Linked DNA regions of Diceros bicornis minor. Each later gene encodes a partner of the first gene's protein in a complex. Links are inferred from orthologs where the notes say so. Each region holds a gene or a part of one and is shown on either strand. Other genes may lie near its edges.

What was found. The genes of interacting proteins can lie anywhere in the genome.
Region 2: the proteins of F2 (region 1) and THBD are in contact, whole or in part, in a crystal structure (PDB 1DX5), measured with the Homo sapiens proteins. The link is inferred for Diceros bicornis minor from reciprocal best matches to the Homo sapiens genes F2 and THBD. Residues at the interface, in NP_000497.1 of Homo sapiens: Phe382, Ser385, Pro386, Gln387, Leu423, Arg425, Thr432, Arg433, Tyr434, Arg436, Asn437, Glu439, Lys440, Ile441, Met443, Lys470; in NP_000352.1 of Homo sapiens: Ser424, Cys425, Glu426, Cys427, Tyr431, Ile432, Leu433, Asp434, Asp435, Thr440, Asp441, Ile442, Asp443, Glu446, Asn447, Gly449, Phe450, Asp479.

Annotation. Positions count from the first base shown.
Region 1 is NC_080770.1:23,573,521-23,584,127, forward strand, and holds the start of F2 (prothrombin), read right to left. Parts: upstream 4,402-10,607; 5' UTR 4,235-4,401; coding exon 4,156-4,234; intron 3,802-4,155; coding exon 3,638-3,801; intron 2,932-3,637; coding exon 2,907-2,931; intron 2,692-2,906; coding exon 2,641-2,691; intron 1,180-2,640; coding exon 1,074-1,179; intron 978-1,073; coding exon 841-977; intron 1-840. UniProt on the Homo sapiens protein: Thrombin, which cleaves bonds after Arg and Lys, converts fibrinogen to fibrin and activates factors V, VII, VIII, XIII, and, in complex with thrombomodulin, protein C. Functions in blood homeostasis, inflammation and wound healing.
Region 2 is NC_080758.1:49,362,277-49,372,405, forward strand, and holds THBD (thrombomodulin), read right to left. Parts: upstream 5,034-10,129; 5' UTR 4,905-5,033; coding exon 3,006-4,904; 3' UTR 1,198-3,005; downstream 1-1,197. UniProt on the Homo sapiens protein: Endothelial cell receptor that plays a critical role in regulating several physiological processes including hemostasis, coagulation, fibrinolysis, inflammation, and angiogenesis.

The sequences.
Region 1 (10,607 bases):
CAGCTGGACTCATCGTTTGAAGCAGAGCCTCAGCCCACGTCAGTGGAGCCCACAGACACATGAGCAAGTGCAGCCGAGATCAGAGCTGCCCCAGCCAACCCTCAGACACATAAGAAATAAATGCTTATTGGCGTATGCCCCTGAGCTTCTGCAGTTGTTTGTGATTTTGTGGGTTTTGCAGCATCATTGTGGCTATAGCTAACTGATACATCACGGGAAATAACAATGACAGAATCATTCAGGGCTGGTCTGTATGAGGCTTGCTCTGTGGTGCCCAGAAAAGGGCGTGTGGACTGAAATGGTTAGGGAAGAGTGTCTGAAGCAGGAGCATGTTGGAATGAGCCACAGCCTGGATCACAAGGAAGCAAAGACTGGGGAGGGAAAGGAGGAGGCTGGAAGCCAACTCTCTCTGGTCTCTTGACTTTACTGAGCAACAGGCCCAAATATGTTAGAGATGAATAACCTCCTCTTTTCTTTTTTTTTTTTTTTTTTTTGTGAGGAGATCAGCCCTGTGCTAACATCTGCCAATCCTCCTCTTTTTTTGCTGAGGAAGACTGGCCCTGGGCTAACATCCATGCCCATCTTCCTCCACTTTATATGGGACGCCGCCACAGCATGGCTTGCGAAGCAGTGTGTCTGTGCGCGCCCGGGATCCGAACCTGTGAACCCTGGACCGCTGCAGCGGAGCGTGCACACCTAACCGCTTGCACCACCAGGCCGGCCCCTGAATAACCCCCTCTTGAAGGGAGCCAGGATCTTGGTTTCCGTCCCAGGCTGCCAGGCCCCATGAAGACCCCTGGCTGGGCCTTGGCCACAGACTGCCTAGTCGCCCCAGCTCACCACACACAGGGACGCTGCACTCTTCCCTCCGCACGGTGGGGTCTGTGGTGTAGCACCAGGGCCCCGTGGTGCTGCCATCTGGGTTGCGGCAGAAATTCTCCTGCAGTTCGGCCTCAGGGTGTGTGGTGGAGTTGATTCTGGAATAGGAAATTGCTCAGCAGGAGACCCTGGCCCCTCAGTGTCTCCTTGCCCCCATTCTCAGCCCACTAGCAGATAGGTCTGCCATCACTCACTCAGGCTTATGTGGGTAGCGACTCCTCCACAGCTGGCACTCAATGCCTGACCGGGTGAAGCTCACGTTCCCTCGGTAGTTCACACCCAGACCTTCAGCACAGTTACCTGCAGAGATCCCGGCCCAGATCTCTTACCCTGAGAATTTTCCCCCACTAGCAACTCCCCCTAGGATTTGTCCCTCTCTCCTAGCAAAGCTCTGTCTGTGCACCCCCTCCAAGCTCCCTCTGGTCCATGACCCTTAACCTGCACTTACTCGGCACCTCCTCTGCACCCAGCAGTTCCCCAGTCCATTTGACAGTAGTCACTAAATGTTCACTGAGTGTCCACCATGTGATAGACACTGTGCCAGGTACTAAGGACACAACAATGAATAAGACAGTCACAGTCAATAAGACAGTCATAGGTCCCTGCCCTCATGGAGCTTATATTCGGTGGCTCCTCATGGCGAGCAGGATGATAAAATGAACAAGCTCCTTCTAATCCGTCCCTGGTCTATCTGTCCTGTTATCTTAGCTCCTCATGCCTCCTCCTCCTCCAGGCCCTTTGCACATGCTGTTTCCTTTGCCTGGAATGCTCTCCTGTTTATTCATCAGCACATTCTACAAATCCAGGTAAAACTCTACTTCTTCTGGGCAGCTGTCCCTGATCCTGCCAGCAAACTAAACGCCCCTCCTCCTGGCACTCTCTTGGCCCCTGGAACAGAACTTTGCCAGCCATCACTTTGATGTTTTGTCATTTTGTTTTCCTATGAGATTGTGAGCTCCTTGATTCTCTTAAACCCCCAGAACTTGACACAGTGCCTGGCACATAGCAGGGACTTAGTGAAATGTCTATTGAATAAGTTATTTAACAAGTGAAAGTATGGCCAGTGATCAACGAGTTGCCTGTAGTGGGGCCTGTTGTCATACTAAAGGTGTGTTCAGGACGCTGTGGAGGAGGGAGGGGGCTCCCTGAAGGCTCAGCAAGGTGGTGGCATTTGAACTAGTCCATGCAGGACAGGGAGGTTTTCAGTAAGTGGTGATGGTTGCTCAAGGGGATGATGACAAATTAAGCAAGGGCCAGGCAGTAGAAACATCTTGGCATGTTTAGAGAAATGTTGGCTATCAGAGTAGCTCAGGCTCTGTGTTCATGGTTGGTGCAACAGGAGGGAAGGCTAGAAGGGGAGGTTAAGGTTAGGCTGCCAAGTTCACCAGCCTAAGCAGCCTGTGCTTTATTCTGGGGGCAATGGGGAGCCACTCAAGGTTTTGGAGAACGAAAGTGATGTCATGGGAGCTCTGCCCTGGGGGCATGGGGAAGACTAACTGGCGTGGGCAGGAGCTCATGAGAATGAGGCCTTAATGTTAATTCATTATCCATTTACTTCTTCCTTCAACATTAATCATCTTAGTGACCAGCAGGTACAGAGCCAGGGGCAAAGACACAACCTCGACGGCAGGAACAGCAAGGCAAAGTCAGATGCTAGGGGCCACCGCTGCTGGGCCACAGCCCCTAACCGACCCCTACTCTGCTCTTCTCCCAGACTGCCCCTCTCATATCCTGGCCCCCACCCTCATGCCAGTTCCTCACCTTCCAGACACTCAACGAGATCTTCTCGAGGTATCCTCACCGACTCACAAGCTGGAAAAGACCCAGAAACACCTTTGGGATTGTGGTAGGGACAGGATGGGCTTGAGTAAAAGGAGGGTGGGACGACATTCAGAAACAGAGTAGGATAGATGGATGGAAGGAAGGAGGAAAAGAGATTGGGTGGATAGGTGAGTGATAGGACAGACCAGAAGATTCTCTAACTGGGGTCCCCAGGATTCCTGGAGCACACCCTTCCCAGGGCTCACCTGTGTACTTGGTCCAGAACGCATCCTGAAAAACAAGGGCTGGCATGAGGCTGTGGCAGGATCCCGTTTGGTTTTGTTGTTTAGTAAACTTTATGTCTCCTCCTTATTCTTCCCTCTTTTCCTTACCCCGGTCACGCAAGGGGCAGGCTCTGGGGACGTTTGTGGCACAGTTTCCTACTTTTGCTCCAAAAACCCAGCTCGTTCAGAAGAGTATTTGAAGGGGGGGGGGCTCCCTCAACCAAAACGGACAGGGATTCCCCTGGGTGCGGAAGACTGGCGGAGAGGGGAGTGTGGGGCCCAGGCAGAGCCCCGCGGAAGGGAAAGGCTGCACAGGGTCCGTGGAACGCTAAGGCCTTGGCCCAGGGCTCCCAGCCTACCACACGCCCACCTCCCACAGGCGGCACAGGAGTATCGGAAAAGCTGAGGCCGAGAGGCCAAGTGGGCCAGGGGCCCCAGGGACCCCAGTGTAGACAGATGTCTGAAGACTAAGGAGGCCCCGTGACGTCCTGGAGCCTCATTGGTCCCTGGGACCTTGACACAGCCCAGGCACTGGGTCCCCCCCAAGAAAGGCTGAGGTTGCTCATCTTGGCAGCCCAGTGAAATGGGGCTCAGAGACGAAATCAAGTTGTCAACAGTTTAGGAGCTGTGATGTTGGCTCCTCTCATCTGTGGCCCTAGAGGTGGGCCCACATCGGGGGAGCCCCGGCCTCCCTCCGAGCAGCCCAGCCTCACCGTGGCGCTGGAGGACTCCAGGGCCTCTGAGGCCTCCTCGCGGCTGCACTGCTCCTCTATGCACTCCCGCTCCAGGTTGCCCTTGCGCACCTCCTCCAGGAAGCCACTGTTGGCGCGTCGGACCCGCTGGAGCAGCGACAGTGCTTGCTGAGGGGCCAGGAACACTGCAGTAGGAGGGGTGTGGGACAGCGGCCTCAGGGGGTCAGGCCATCTTGGCCACCGTGGGGGCAGGAAGCAAGCCTGGCCTGCCCTGCTGGCTTCTGAAAGGGGATGTCTAGGATGGCAGCAGGACTCAGGAAGCTGCTAAGGGTAGCCCACTAGCTCCCCTCCATTCACTGGTCACCCCCAGCCCACTCCCCAATTGTAAGAGAGAAGCAGTCACTGTCTGTCCGGCCCTGAGCACCCGGCTCCTTCCCTAAGCTAGATACCTTGGGCTGACCCATCTAGGGGCCGGCCCTGTGTTCTCCACGGGTGGAATCCTGGTCTGTCAGTCTGTGCGGGATTCCGAGCCCCCTTACCATGCTGGCTGTGCACAAGGCTAAACAGGGCAGCCACAGCCAGGCAGCCAGGTAGCCACAGGCCTCGGACGTGCGCCATAGTGTGTGGGCTGCTGGGACTCTGAGAGTTCGTCCTGACCCCTCTGGGTTAATGTTGAACTAACATGAAGAAATCAGCCTAGAGGCAGAGGTCAGCAGGTCAGGGCCGTGGGGACAAGTGGATAGATAGTCCACCCCCACCATCTGGGGGTACAGGTCCTCCTGCGACCAGGGATGGATGGTCTGGGAGGAAGTCACAAAGGAAAATCAGTGTAACTACTATCGTCCTGCCCCTCCTTCCCTAAGACATGGGTCAACTTGGACCAGTTCCTGAGGCCCCTTCCAATTCCAACACATGATGATGGTTGCTTTAATCTCTGTGTGCCTCAGTTTCCTCATCGGTACAGTGGGAATAGTACTTTGCTATGAGGACTAGAGGAGATTAGGAATGTAAGCCCATGAAACACAGTGAGGGCTTAATAATCAGAAGATACACGGATATAAACCAACCGGGAGGTTCGTGTAATCATAACACATAGATAGAAGAGAATAGAGACAAGGGCATCGCCAGATTAGAGCTGCCCACCTTGCCCCATGACACACTGGGGGCAGGGACGGCCAACATTTACCCCAGCCTCTCAGCCCCTGACGGAGGGTCCCATTTCCCCTCTTTCCCATCTGGGAAGCTGTGGAGGTGTGTTTGTGTGTAGTGTTCCCCGGGAGGAGGAACCAGGTCCAGGGCTTCCTGGGCCTCTGGTCATCCCAGGACTGCTGCCCTCCCCAGAACAGGGGCAGCCCAAATCCCGGGGTCTCCGCGGCAGGGACCCCCTTTCCCTGCACCCGTCTGCCCTGGGCCGGGCCTAGAGAGGCTGCTGTCTTACACTGCCCTCGGCCAGCCCTGCTCCCGTCCCTCCTCCACTTCCTGTTTACAGGACGCAAGGTAAATATTAGTCCTAGTCTAGTTAGGACAGAGGGACAAAGAACAGGAACACAGGGAGCTCAGGCTCTTGCCTCGCCATCCTTTAGGCCTGGCCGTTCGGCATCTGGACTGCGGTCGTGTACAGTCTGAGATCGCAGGGAGGGGCCTGGTGCAGAGCAGGGAAGAGAGAAGGCTGGCAGAGAACGGGGGACCAAGAATCAGCTTAATTCCTGGGTGGCCCAGTTCCTATACTTACATATATTTATATTTATATTACATATTCCTATTTTTCTATATATATATTTTTTAAATTGAGGTTTAATTTATATACAATAATGTTAAAACAAATCCTAAGTGTTTAACTCAAATTTTTATGCATACACCCATGTAACCACCACCAGATCACGAGAGAGAACATTTCCAGCCCCAATAGGCCCTAGGATAACCGCTATGCTAACTATAGATAGTTTTGCCTACTTCTGAACTTCATATAAATGGAAACCTACGGCATATACCTGTTTGTGTCTGGCTTCTCTCGCTCAGCATGTTCCTGAGATTCATCCATGTTATGTTCCTTTGAAGCTGCATAGTATCTCACGGCATGAATAGAGCACATTTTCTTTATCCATCCACCTGTTGATGGGCATTTGGATTAGTTTCCAGTTTGGGCTATAATGAGTAATGTTGCTATGAATATTCGTGCACAAGTCTCTGGGTGTAGATGAGCACTTATTTCTGTTGGGTTACACGCCCAGGATTTGCTGGGTCATAAGGCAGGCATGTTTTGCTGAAGTCGCTGAGACAGTTGTCCCAAGTGGCTGTACTAGTTTACGCTCCCACCAGCCATGTTGGAGAGTCCCGGTTGCTCACGTCCCCCCCAGCCCTCTATATCGTCCATCCATTTCACATCAACCATCCTGATGGATGTGCAGGTGTGTCTCACTGAGGTTTTAATTTGTATTCCCTGTTGACTAATGACACTGAGCCTACTCTTTTTTGGGGAGGGAAGGAAGTGGAATGGTACAAAGATCTCACCTCACTAATTTCTTAAAAAGTTACATCTTGAGTAAGGGAAGGGGGTAGGGCTCCTGAAAAGGGGAGAGAAGAGAGGTGTGGCTTCATCCTTCCTGCCTCGAGGCAGGTGACCCTCCCTTTCCTGGGGACCAGGTTGGGCCAGTGCTGACTCAACCTGGAAAGGGAGAAGAGGTGAGAGGGGGTGTCAGCAGGGGGAGAGATCACCTAACACACGGCACCTCTTCTACTGAGGAACAAGGGGCCTGCTGACTGCTCCCTGTTCCCCCGCTGTCAGGACCCCCCAGTCATGACAGACAAGCACCACGCGCAGACATGGCTGTTAACGAGCAAGTCTTGGGCTATGTCTTCCTCAAGCTGTTTGCAGACAATGTTCCAAAGCAGAAAACTTCAGTTCTCTGAACACAGAGAGGACGAGATTTGGTTATACGGGTTCCTGCTTTCCCAGACTTACTCCTGGATTTATGTGTCAGGTGATGAATTTACACACCACAATAGTACTGCCAGGGGGAGAACTTTGCTGATGAGAAATTCATTTTGAATATGGTCCTGACATCTTGTCCACGGCAAATGCTGGAGCCAACCCAAATGGCCCCCAGTTTGTCATCCACACGGTTAAGACTGACGGGCTGGATGGCAAGCACTGGCTCTCTGGCAAGGAGAGAGATGGCATGAATATTGTGGAAGCCACGGGGCATGCTGGGTCCAGGAATGGCAAGACCAGTCAGAAGACTCTGGGCCCTTCTGACGAACTTGCTCTTGTGTTTATCTTATACCCAACCACTCCTTTTGCCCCTGAGGAGAGCGCCCCCAGCTCTCACACCCTGTAACCTCTGTGTTCTCTCCTGCTGCAGTTCTTGTATTTCATATATCTCGTCTCCCTTCAGGTCTAGTTGGATTCAGAGTTAAGTTTATCGTTGTGAAACAAAAACGAAACTACCCTCAGAACATACTATAATGTTCGTCAAGTATCACAATGCCTGCCACACAGTAAGCACTCAGTAAACAGCAGTTATATGCTATTTTGCAACAGGCAACACACAATGCTGCCTATAAAGAGTTTTTCCTAAAATGATGAATCTGGATCTAATCAACCTCTAACTTTATTTATTTTGGTGAGGAAGAGTGGCCCTGAGCTAACATCTGTTGCCAATCTTCCTCTTTTTGCCTGAGGAAGACTGTCGCTGAACTAACAGCTGTGCCAATCTTCTTCTATTTTGTATGTGGGACGTCACCACAGCATGGCTTGATGAGCGGTGTGTAGGTCCGTGCCCGGGATCTGAACCTGTGAACCCCAGGCCATGGAAGTGGAGCGCACGAACTTAACCACTATGCCACTGGGCCGGCCTCTCAGCCTCTAACTTTAATTACTAGTCTGCAGGAAATACAGATGATAAAGGAATAAGTTAGACACCACAAGGAATGAGCAACATTTTTCAGGACAAATGACCCCAGTTTCTCTGACAAATTCATGACATAGAATAAAAGGGGTGGGTGGGAAAGACTGTCCAGAATAATAGAAACCTAAGAGAGACCTAACAACCAAATGCACCAGGGAAACAGAATTACCATGATTGGTTTAGACTTTCGAAGAAATCAATTGTAAAAAGACTCTTTTTGGACAAGCAAGAAAATTTAAATATAGATTAGGTTCTCATTCAAATGAAAGAATTATTGTTCATTTGATAAGTATTATATGACACATGGTTATATTTTTTATATAAGTTATAGTTTTATATAACTTATGAGTTATAGATTATACTGAAGAACTTACAACAAACATGAAACAAGCACGGCAAAATGCTAACAATCATTAAATCTAGGTGGCTAGGGGATTGTTATATTATCCCTTTTAATTTTTTGTGTTTGAAAAATTTCACAATGAAAAGTAAACTTAATTCCTTAATAAATGGAGGCTAGCAGTAAGTGGATTCTAGTTAGACAGCCTTCACACGTTCTTGGGTGAACAGAAGACCACATCCACCCTCTCTACTTTGCAGAGAGCAGTGCTGCCCACCTGCGGAATGCAGCCTTGTGCTCGGAGAGACGTGGAGATGGGAGTGCACATACGAGTCCTTTCCCACGCAGTTTCTAGGACGGCTGTGAGAGTCCACAGGGATTCACAAGTTCTCTTCAAGTAGTGAATGTTTCACGATGATCTAGGGAGAGCAGAGATCTAGGGAGAGCATCCCCTTTGTGAGTGGCTCTGGAAGGATCCAAAAGTTCTGCCAGACCAGGGTGGCACCACCACGGGTACAGAAATCCAATGGACCCAGCACACCCCTAGTCTTCAGGGTCCACCAGAAGAGCCCCAGCCTCCAAGAACTGTTCTCCTTGGAACTCTCTGGGCCCAGTGAGTATCATGCAGCTGAGCCTGTCATTCCTGCTTCTCACCACAAACACGTACCTGCACACTTAAAGCAGATCATATTTGCCTCTAAGAACAAGGCCATATTGAGGGGTTGCATTTCTGCCCAACAAGCTGGCATCAAACAAAATCGTGGGCAAGACCAATGCTACGCTGTAAAGCGAAGCTCTATAATCACTGAAAACAGTAAAATTATCTTCTAAGCGAGAATTTCAGAAGTGGAAGCAAGATCAAATATTGTTAAATCTGGACACTTCAAAGCCTGGGGCTCTGTGCATGTACTACAGGGTGGTCTTACCTTTTTGCATATTAAAAAAAACCTCAAAAATTGTAAATTTACCATAAGACAAAACTAATGTTTTTCCTTTTGACTAAAACTATCTCTCTTCAGGTGGTTAATTACCTTGTTTTTCTCTACATGATCAGCAGTTTTCTATTTTGATAAAAAAATATGAGTAAGTCTGTTTCTACTCAATAGAAATCTTTTAAAACATGGGATCCATAGAAGAAATAATGTTAGCAAAAGGACTCCAGGGTGGAGCAGAGATCGGGAACCACTGATGTGGCCCAATTTGCCCATGTCACTGCGAGGAGATGGAGGGATCTGAGTGGGGAAGCTAATCGATCAAGGCCCCACAGAGAATCGGTGGTAAAGCCAGGACCAGGACCCGCACTCCTCCCTCAGGCCATCGCTCTTCTCCTCCCATGACCCTTGTCCCCTGACGTTCCAGTAGAGTACAGCCTCGCTGTACTATCAAGTGTACCCAGAGGACATGCAGCCAAGTACATATCTATTGTGTAAGTGATGCTGGCCTGCCCCAAACAAGCAAAACCTATAGGAAACACGTACATACCTTAATCTTGGGTGGATTACAATACTATTAACAACCAGCTCCAATTCAATAATTGTTCACATGCCAGGTACATAGCACTGATGAGACAGGTATCTATTTATTCCCATTTTATGCATGAGGAAACTGAGGCACAAGGAAGCTAAGTAACTTGCCTGAGTTCATGCAGCTAGTCAAGGGCAGGGTCACGACCCACACCCGAACCTGGAGATGTGCTCTTCACAGTCCATGACGCTTTGCCTTGTTCAAAGGTCACTACACGTGATTCCAATTTTATTCTATTGTAAGATTTTCTCAGACTATGAAAGTTGCAAATCAGGGCAAATGATCCTCTATCGCCCGCGCTCTCTGATGTCTGGGTCAGCGGCTATCGACGTCGCGAGGTTAAACTTGCATCCGTGAAAAGGCGTCTGGCAACGCTTTCATGGCACCCGCGCCCTAGAGCAAGCAGCAGCACTCAGATTCAGTACCCAATACACCAAACTGTCGAAAGTGACTTGATCAGGGGATGGAGGAAACGATGGGAATAAGGGGACTTTCAACATTACGATGAACAAGATTCTCAAACAAGGGGGAAAATATTTTCTCAATGAAAAAAATATTCCAGTGGCCAGTCTTTCAAAGAACAGTCATTGCATTTTATTTTAATTGGAAGAGCATGAAATTAAGAGTTACAAGACCTGGGGCTGGCCCGGTGGTGCAAGCAGTTGGGTGTGCATGCTCAGCTGCGGCAGCCCGAGGTTTGCCGGTTCAGATCCCGGGCACGCACTAATGCACTGCTTGGCAAGCCATGCTGTGGCGGCATCCCATATAAAGTGGAGGAAGATGGGCACGGATGTTAGCCCAAGGCCAGTCTTCCTCAGCAAAAAAATAAAGAGGAGGATTGGCAGATGTTAGCACAGGGCTGATCGCCTCACACACACAGACACACGAGTTACAAAACCGAGTCTCATGCCCTGGCGAGTGCCTTTTCTCTAGGCCTCCGTTTTCTCATCTGTAACGAGAGCTTGGACAATCCCTTCTGATGCCCATTCTCACTTGAGTCATGAGTGCTGGCAGAGCAGAGGCTCCCAAACCAGGTGCCTTTGAATTTGTTGGCTTTGATCTGACCCTGCTCTCATCACCAGGGACAGCCTTAACGGGGAGGAAAGTTGTCCTTCTGTGTGGGGGATGTGGTAACGTGGTGTGAGCATCCCAGGTTTTGGCCTGAGGACAGTTGTGGGGTGTCGACAGGCTTCCCCAGCAACCCAAAGCTTCCCCACTT
Region 2 (10,129 bases), on another chromosome or scaffold:
AAGCGAGGGGCTGGGCCCCCACCTCACTAGTGTTCTGGGGTCCAAGATGCCCCAGTAAGGTTCTTGCCTCTGGATCTTGAAAGTGTGTTTTGGTCTTCTTGTGTTCTTAAGAAAATGCCCCTCCTCTGGAGGAAAAAATCCTAAAGCAATGAGCCCTTGAAAGTCAATTTGGTGGCTACATGGGAGCAGACCCTTTTGAACAATGGAAGGCCAGGCAGTCAGGACAAGTTTGTAAGGAATCACTCTCTCCTCTGGACCCCCCAGGACAACTCACCTACACCTACTTTGCCTCCACTCATCTAGTTCTTCCTTCGTATGCACCCACTACGGAATTTGGTTTCTGCCAGTCTACCAAACTCCTCAAGCCACAGCGCTCAACTCGCTATCTCAGTGCACGGCAGCTGCCACCCTCACCCTGCACACACCAGAGCTGTCAGCCGCATCCCAGGATGTTGCACTCTCCAGCTGCACCTTCACAACAGGAACTGCTCAGCTTGAAACTGAGAAATTCAGCATCATCCATGTGTATACAAATATTTGAATATTTGACCAAATTCGATTTTCTTTCCACTTCTGCGTTATGAACACTTTGGGAGCACTGCATATAAAATTCAGCCAGTCTACCAGCCCAGGAAAAGGGGCCCAAGAAATTTGTGTATTAAAAAGACAGTGTTTCTAATCTCCAACAGAAATGAGAATGATTTAACACTGCGTAAGACCTTGGCATGTGGAAACAATTGTTTGAATATGAGCCACAGACTGAGACCCCTCCTGACTGTTGTGTTTGGATAGCTCAGAGAGCAGATAATGCCAAACCATACACAGAATGACACACAGCTGGGATTCTGGAGATGCCCAAGAAAGACTGTTTCTTTAACTCACGCCAACAAATAATCCTATAATGTATTTTAAGACGCATAGACACAAGTCCTGTGCATGAAGTGGTTATGGTTACAAAAGGAAAAAATAAATATTTGTGCACACAGGCATAACGTGAAGTCCTTCTACAGTGAAAACAATGTCCTCTGGAAAGATCTTTGAAAGTCAGAGATGGTGCCATCGGCAGATGGAGCCAGTGAAGGGGTGTGGAGCAGCCTTTAAATGCATCTCAGGGCATTTGCATTGTTGGTGCGCCTGGTTCAATGATGCAAAATGAGGGGTGGGGGAGGGGAGGTGAACAGACACAACCCAAGAACACTCTGTTATTTGTTTATTTTCTACATGTGATGTCATAAGCAAGGGTTTTGCCCGTGTCCTAGTTTATCTGCAATAAATAAATAACTATGTACAAATGTGCTGAGTTTACAAAATAGTAGAAGAAAACCTTTGCATCACAAAAGATACATTATATGATACATTTTTTTCCACACACTAAAGCATGATTTCATCCCTAGCTCAGTTGAACCAAAGAACTTCTCTACCCTGTGCAGCAATGTCTAAAGTTGTGTACCTAGTCTTTCTACCAGAAAGCAAAGCTATAACGTGAAAATTCCTCAGTTTCTTGAGAATAAAGGACCTGGTTTGGCCTACTACTTATTACTGATCCATATTTAATTTGTTCCAGAAAGTTGGAAGCTATCTGGCACAGTTCTCCTCAGGCTGTACTGGGCAGACACCCCCTGCAGACCTTGTTACAATCCAGATTCTCATGCAGCAGGTGGGTGGAGCTGGAGCTCCTGCATTTCTAACCAGCCGCCCCGGCGCGGGGGCAGCCTCTGCTTCTTGTCCCGGGCCCCTGCTCCAAGTGGACAGGGTTAGAAGGCCTCTCTGAAGTGGGAGAAATTCTCCAGGGCCTGATCAAGGTGGGGCCCTAACTGAGCATCCTTCAGGCTCCATCCTCAAGCTCCCAAATCCCACAAAGGAGTAGAGCTGGGCTACAAATCACAACAACAGTAAGAGTCAAAATGGGAATTGGCCTGGATCATGCAGCTCAAAACTGTTTTCAACCGTCTCCTGGGACGTGCTTCTGTCTTCTCTCAATCTAGAGCAATCGAGTGAACGTCTTCAACATTGTCCAAAATAACTAATAATAATAATAATATAAAAAGAAACTGCATAAGAAGCTTAACAATAGTTACTACTTTTCAGTCCAAATCAAAACAACAACAATATAACCCAGCCTCACTGTCTAAAAAATAAAAAACTCCTTGGGGTTGAAATTCTATGACAGTTCAGCCACATTAGTTTAACGAATGCCCCTCACATCTTAACCTCTGTTAAAATGATATTGCTCTGGAAGCCTGAAATTTCAAGAAAAATTAGCAAATCTGGTGCAAAAGCAAATCCCCAACCGCTCTTGTCTTGAGATGTTTTGTCTCTGTTTCACAGGGGAGTCCGCCTAGGCAGACACTAAGAGCAGAGGGGTCTGACACAGGGCGGTGACTCAGGTGGGTTGGCTGAGTTCCTGAGGAGGGAAAATTGGGAGGAATGAGGGGGGAATACAGGGCTGGGCTTCATAAATGCAAGAGGACTGGGAAAAAAATTCACCAAGATAGTATAACTGCCACACGACAAGTGGGAGTATATAAATATAGAGATAGGGAAGGAGAAGGGGGTGGGAGGAGTGGGGAGGGATACACACAAGTAGGGAAAAAGCAAAAGAACAAGATTCTAAATACTCAAAAAATAAATATCTTGGTCATTATTGATGACTTCATTACACTCACTAGTCCACGAGATCACAGTCTGCCCCAAAGGCTGCCAACCATAACGCTCACCCATCCTTGGTGAGGGCACGGGACACTGGAGTCTGTGTCTTCATCATAAAACGGCCATCTCGCCCAGTTGTCCGATGACGTCATGGAAATGGCTGGGGCGCATAGTCCTTCCAATTCCCCCTCCCCAGCCATGCGTGGAATCAGAGAAGAAGGTGGGGACGGTCTTCTCCAGTTCTGATGCCAGCTAAGGTGCTTTGGGGTAGCCAGGGAGTAAGGCTGGGGGCGGGGGGCGGGCACAGAAGGGTGGCAAAGGCCCAGCCCACACCTGGGGCCGGGGAGGGAGGCCCCTCAGAGTTTCTGAGGCGTCCGCTCCGTTCCCACGTGCTGCAGCACCACCTCCTTGGCTGGGGCCCCACACTTGTACTCCAGCTCGGCCCGCAGGGCCCCTTGCTTCTTGCGCAGGTGGCAGAGGAGCGCCAAAAGCGCCACCACCAGAGACAGACTTGCGATGGAGATGCCAATAAGCACGACCGAATGCATGGGTCTTACAGGCGAGGGGCTCGAGGTGGCGCCGGGGGTCGGGCTGACCGGGAGCTCCCCAGAGCCGCCGTCTTCGTCGCCGCCGTTGGTCACCTTGGGGTCACAGTCAGTGGCAGCCTGGCCGGCGAGGGGTGAGTCGGGCCCGCAGATGCACTGGTAGCTGCCAGGGAGGTTGAGGCACGCGTCGGGGCAGTAGCCATTGTTGCATTCGTCGATGTCTGTGCACATGAAGCCCTCGTCCAGGATGTAGCCCTCCGGGCACTGGCATGTAGTTGGGTTGTTGGGGTCGCAGTCAGCTGGGCATGCAGTCTGGTTGCAGAACATCTGGCACCTGTGCGGGTCGTTGGGGGTGGGCGCGAAGCCCTCGGCGCAGACGCAGCGGTAGCCATTTTGACCCACGGGCTGGCACTGGTACTCGCACTGAGTCCCGAAGCATGGGTCCACGGGCTCCACGCACTCGCCGTCCACCAGGTCGTAGCCGGGGTAGCAGTGGCACTGGAAGCCGCCCTGAGTGTTGACACAGCGCTGCGGGCACGGACTGGGCACCAGCGTACAGTCGTCCACGTCCTCGCAATGGTGCTGGTCGGCAGCCAGCTGGTAGCCCGTCTCGCACATGCACGAGTAGGCGCCGGGCACGTCCGGGGTGCGGTAGCAGAAGTGTTCGCAGAGTTGGTCGCACGAGTGCTCCCCAGGCGCGGCGCAGGAGCGCCCGTCGGCCTGCAGGGCGGCGTCGGCCGGGCAGAGGCAGCGCGACGCCCCGGCGCTCCCGTTGCACTTGTGCTGGCAGCCGCCCTGTTCCACGCTGCAGTCCCAGGCGCCGGGCGCCTCCTGGCTCCAGCGCGCCTCGGCCTCTCCGGGCGGCGCCGCGCACTCCAGCTCCACTCCGAAGGGCCCTACAGCGGCGGAGCTACCCACCGGCAGCGCCTGGAAGTCCGCGCCGCGGGCCCCGAACGGGGTGCTGTAGGTGATCGAGACACTGGCGGCCGCCGCGGACTCCACAGCCAGGGGCCTGCAGGAGGCTGCGAAGTGAAACTCGCAGAGGAAGCCATCGGCCTCCGCGGAGCACTGCTGCTCCTCCCAGGCCGGCTCGCCGGGTGCAGCGGCCCCGGCCGCCGAGACTGTGACGCACAGCGGACCGCAGAGAGGTGCCCCGTCGCGGTGGAGCCGCGCCCACCTGCTGTAGCTGGTGCGGTTATCGCCCGTAACCCACTGGAAGCCGCGCAAGGGGCCGAAGTGCCCCGGGTCGCTGCAGCCGGGCGGGAGCTGCAGGCCGATCCAGAAGCGCTGGCTGTCGCCGCCGTCGCCACTCAGTAGCAGAGAGATGACATCAGCCGCCACCGAGGAGCGCACGGTCATCAGGTGGCCCCGCAGGCGCTCGCAGGCCTGGCTGGCGGCGAGGAAGGGCACGGGGCCCCGGAAGAGCGCGAAGCAGTCGTGCTCGACGCACTGGCTGCCGTGGGGCTGCGGTTCCGTGGGCGCCGGGAGCCCCAGGCCAGCGGGGGCCAGCACGCCGAGAAGCAGGACCCGGAGCATGCTGTCCAGGCGCGCCGCGTGCAGGCCCCGGGGAGAGCGCAGGCGCCGCGACGAGGCCGGAGCCCGGCCGGGGCCGAGAGGTGCAGGGCGCAGCCGGCGACAACCCCTCCTGTCTGTCCCAGCACGGACGCGTCCGGACGCGGCGCGCAACCCCGGCAAGGCAGCCTCTGACATGCCAGCGGGCCGGGGCCCGAGTTTATAAGTGCGCGGCCCTCCCTCCCTGGACGTTCGGGAAAAGGAAGGAAGTGCCTGGTGGGAAGGGCTGATGCTGCATTCTCGGATTACTGGGTTCTCCGGACGCCTTGCGCCCGCCCTCGCGCCTGGGATCACCTCGGGGGGATGAGTAAACCCAGCCCGGGCGCTGGTATGTCCCCGGGCGGGGCCGCCAGGCGCAAGCGCGGCGGGAAGACAGCACCTCTGTCGGCAAGGCGACAGTCCCCGCCCCGCCACTCGGGCCCCCACGCGCGCAGCCTGAAAAGAGGCTTAATCCGCAGCCCTTCCTAATTTCCCTGTCCTCTTGCTTTTTCTTCATCAATGTGTTGTTACCACCGATTTCAAGGAAGCCTGGATTGCAGAAGACTAGGAAGAAGAGACCAGGGCGAGGAGGGCTTTGAAGAGGGGCGGGGGAGGTAGTGCCCAGGACCCGCAGGGCTCGGGGAGGAGGTGCCCACCAGGAAGAGGACTTTGGAAGGGGCTGCCTCGGGCGAGGACTTCCCCAAAGACGCTATCTCAAGGGGAGAGAGCTGGACCCCATCCAGGCCAGTGGGGGTGCCCTCGGCCCCAGAAGACAGAGGGTGTGGCTGGGGCGACGACGGGCGAAGGGGTTGCACTGGCTTGATATGGACCCCCCCCGCCGGGCCCTCCTGCACAGCTAGGGACCCACAAGTCCCTGAACGCCAGCTCCCAAAGCCCGACCTCATCTGGTCGCGTGGGAAAGTCGTGGGGATACTGTCAGAGCTCCAAGGTCTTGTCACCCTTCAGAGGCAGTAGCAGCCTCGCCTGTAGGGGCGGGCGTGCTGGGGTGCGTGTTAGCCTGTTTGGTCTGTTTTCCTTCAGCTTCACAGAGACGCAATCCATCTGGCACCCCCAACGGGGCGCGCGGGGAGGCGCTGCGGACGCCAAGTGGATGCCACTCGGATCTGTTAAGGATTTTTCTATTTGGCTGAGAAATCGGATTGATACAGAGGTGCACATAAATGCCACTTGGGCGGCAAAGGCTACTGAAGAGGGGCGGTCCTGTGGACGGGCAGGGTGGGGAGAACTGGGAGGAGGAGGTGGGAATCTGTCACTTTTCGACCTTATCCGCTTATTCATTTACCAAGAATGCGAGGGGTGGGTCCAAAGCATAACCGAGAGTGGCAAACTTTTTTTTTTCTTTTTTGACATCCTATGCCGTTTCTCCGCTATGGTCACTCACAACGAAGCACCAGGAGGCGGCGCTGTTGAACTCTAAACAAAGCCAAAGAAGTCCGAGATCTCCAGACTAGGGCGGAAAAGGGTTAAGAACGTGGGGAACGCAGAGGCCTCGTCCTGGGGCAGGAAACTCGGCTCCCGGGAAGCCTTGCGCAGATCCCGCGGCTCACCGGGGTGTCCTGCTTTCCTGGTCCAGGAGAGCCCAGATTTTGTAAGAGAACAGGTGAGTGTGGCGTCCTCACAAGCGAAAGACAAGCACCTGTCGGCGGGACTGTACTGACTGACAGTGACCAAACGCGTGGGGCCTAGACACTGGGAAAGTGAAGCGGGAGATGTGCAATGGTCTCTCCCTATGCTCCCTGACGCCCGGCGGAGAGCCGGGCCCGCTGAGCGCTGCTCTGTCCTGAGAACGCTGTCCCAGCTCGTGGCACGGAAGCAGCAGGAACGCGGCGTGGAGACTGAGGTCCAAAGCTCCCAGGAATAGACGCGACTGCCCCTCTGGGCAAAGGAAGGAACCACCAGCAGATTGGAGAGTCCGGCTGTCCCGGGTGCGAGCAGGGCAGGCGCTAGCCTAACGTCCCCCTGGCTGCCTGGCCTGAGTCAAGGATCATGACTTCTGTGAACAGCCCGCCCACGCAGGGCTGGAGCTCAGGGCAGGGCTGCCTCTGGTGGCGCCAGCCCTGGGGGCAGAGTGTCCAGATATGGGCTGGAACACTGCTGAAAGAGCTCAGAAAGTGGGAGAAATTGCCTGGGTGCATGAGACAGGTGAGGCAACAGGACCAGCTACACAATCCTCACCACCCCTTGTTCAAAACTTTCCGAGAATTTCAAGACTGACAGTAAAGCATGAAACAAAGGGGGGGCCCTCCTGACCCTGCCAGCCCTCAAAGAGGTTGAGGGACACCCAAGTGTCAAGCCTGGCCCCACACCAGGCTGAGTCACTTCTTGGGTGAGTTTTGGTGGGACGTCCTATTCAGGTCACCTTGAGCCCAGTTACTGATTCTTGAAAAGAAAAAGACAGGAAGTTGGAGGCTGCCCCAGTAGCTGCGTCCAGGTGAGAACCAGATGGTGCCGGTGAGACTTGGGCCAACCTGTCTGAGGAGGTGCCGGCTGTTTCCATGTAGAAAGACACTAGAGCAACAACTAAAGGGAGCAGAGCACTGACTGGGGTGGGACCAGCAGTCTCGGGTTACCCCGCAGAAGAGTGGATGGACATTTTCCATCCTGCAGGCCTTGCCCCTGGCCCTCAGCACACTTTACCTCTGCCTTCTAGGGCCTGCCCTCTGCCTGCTTTCTCCTCTCCAGCCATCACTTTGAGGCTTTTTTGCACATTTTAAGCTACCCTCGTCTTCCTCTGCACCTCCTGCACAGGCGGATAGGCCCCTCCCTCTGTCTCTATGTGGATGAACCCCCCCACTTCCCTCTTCTCCCCACCCCTGCCCTGCCACCCACCAGAGGCTCACCAGCCAGCCTGTTTTACTGGAACAGCCCCCTTGAAGAGTACCCATCATCTCCTAAATACTGTGGCCAATAACTTGTTTTCAGTCTTCATGCTTCTAGATGTCTCTGTGCTGTTTGCACTCCTGAGCCCTCACTGTTCTCAAGCCTCTTCCTCCCAGGACTTCCCAGACACCTGTGCCCCTGCCCCTCCTTCTCTACCTGCCTGAGGGCGGCCCCTCTGACCCTCCTGCCCTGCAAGCCTGGCAAGTCCTCAGGTTCTGTCTGCCGTCTTCTCTTCTCTCCACCCCTATCTCTTAACATCCCACCCTTTGCCAGACTCACCCATTGCCCTTGCAATGATATCCATGTCAAAGGAGACTGGTGGAGGGAGGTCCCCAGAAGGGACCCTCAACCCATTCTTTCCCCATATCAATATTTACACCCCTCAGACTTACGCCGTCATCACTTCTGCCTCAGACTTCGTCAGTTTCCCTGCCTCATCCTTCCGATCGTCATTGCTCCTGCTCCGTCAGCTCTGTTCCTTGGTCTTCTCTCTCTCACTCTTCGCCCCTGCTGACACTGCCTGAATCCTTGCACCCCTTCAGGGCACCCACCACCTGCCGAGGGAAGCCCATGCTCCTTTCCTCTCCCTCCCCACTAGGCCCAGCCACACTGAAGATGATTGCTCATTGTGCCTCTACTCTGTGGCCACAAAATAGGAAATTTGCACTCAAGGGTCTCCACTGGGGTTCAGACCCAGAACCCTCCCCCTTCAAAGGCTGTTGTCCCACTGGTCCCCACGGATGCTGCCAGTACCAGCAAGAGGGGTTCCTGCTGCCCGTGAGAGGAATGCCTCACCCCATCTCACCTTCATTCCGTGGCTCATGTTTTTTCTTCTGCCAGGAACATTCTAGTCTTTACTTCTTCTTCATCTATTTGAAATCTGACCCTTCTTTTAAGGCACAGGTGACACGCTGCCTCATCAGCAAGTTACAAACCAGAGCTGATCCCTGTGAAGTTCGTAGGCCTTTCTATCAGCACTTTAGCGCTAACTGCGCCTTCCCAGCCTTGTAAGTAATCACGTCCACATCGTGCTCTTTGCTACTCTTACAATCTAGTTTCCTGGGGTGAGCATGTTCTTATACATCTGTGCACCCCAGACGCCTGCCAGCAGTTTTCGTGCATAGACTGCTCAGGAGTCGCTTGAGCACCTGCTGTGGAGTTTCTTTGTGCCCCCTCCTGTGTGACTTTCTCATGTCAACCTGCAAAGACAAGGATGGGGACCTCAGGGCCTCAGGGTTGGGGGTGTGGGCTTTGGAGCCAACTGGGCTGGACTGAGCCCCAGCCCCATCGTTTATAAGTCATGTCGTATCTGGCAAATACCCGGCCTCTCTGTGCTCCAACTGTGTGATGAGAATCATAACAGACTCCCCTTCAAAGTGTGTGATGTGAATTAAATGAGTTGTACATGGAAAGCATCTAGTACCGTTGAGCCATAGTAAACTCTCAACAAATTTTAACTAAAAAAGGATACACTCTGGCCCCTAAAATTTGAATTCAGTCACTGATTGATAGTATTCGACACCCGGCATGGTTCCTTGTCCAGAGTAAAGACTTGCTAAATGTCTGTTGGGTGAAATTCAGTTCAGCTGAGCATTTTTACCAATAAGAGCAATAAGCAATTTTGGGGAAAAAACAAAAAAAAGAAGGACAAAAGGAAGTTTAGGGATCCAGGAGGAGTAGGGAAGGAACTGAAGGCAGCAGGAGAAGCGTGCCCTGGGTCCCTGTGCGCCGGGAGGCTTAGGTGAAGGCTCAGACTCACTCCCAGTCTGCCCCGAAGGCAGCCCATGTTAATTCCTCATTTTCCAGAGGAGAAAGCTGAAGGTCAGAGAGGAGAAGTGACTTCCCAGGGCCGCACAGCTGCCCTGAAACCAAGGCTCACCAGCCTGCTTTAGGATGAAAGAACCAAAGTGGAGTCAATCTGACCCCGAGTTTGCCCTTTAACACCCCCGATTTTAAGTTTCTTAAATCTCTGGTTTTCTCCCCCCAAAACTGGAGATATAATATCTAATTTACAAAGTTGTGAAGTTAGAAAATATACACACAGTGACTATTAGCTTTCTTGGAATGTAGCAGCTGGTGAACAAATACAGTGGTTACTCCTGGTGAGAAGCTCTGTGCAGGGCTCCCAGGGTCACTGGCGTCCATCTGGGAAGTCTGGCTCTTTCGATGGGAGTTTCTGTTTGATGTCTGCGGGGCAGCTTGGACCAACTCTCTGACAGGGAACAAACTCCTGCCATTTGTACTGAAGGCAAACGTGTGTGGCTGCTGTGAAAACAGAGCTGAAGAGGAGTCCAGATACAAAAGGGCCAGGGACAACGTGCTGACCCCACATACCTTAGCCAAAGAGCTTTAGCAAGTGTGGGAGGCAGTTTTCTTCTTACAAGACATAAAAATAACTTTCTAGTTTCAACACAAACACCTGCCCTTGGGCTTGTTAACTCCTCAGTCCCCTGATGCAGACCACCATTTTGCACTATTTCTCT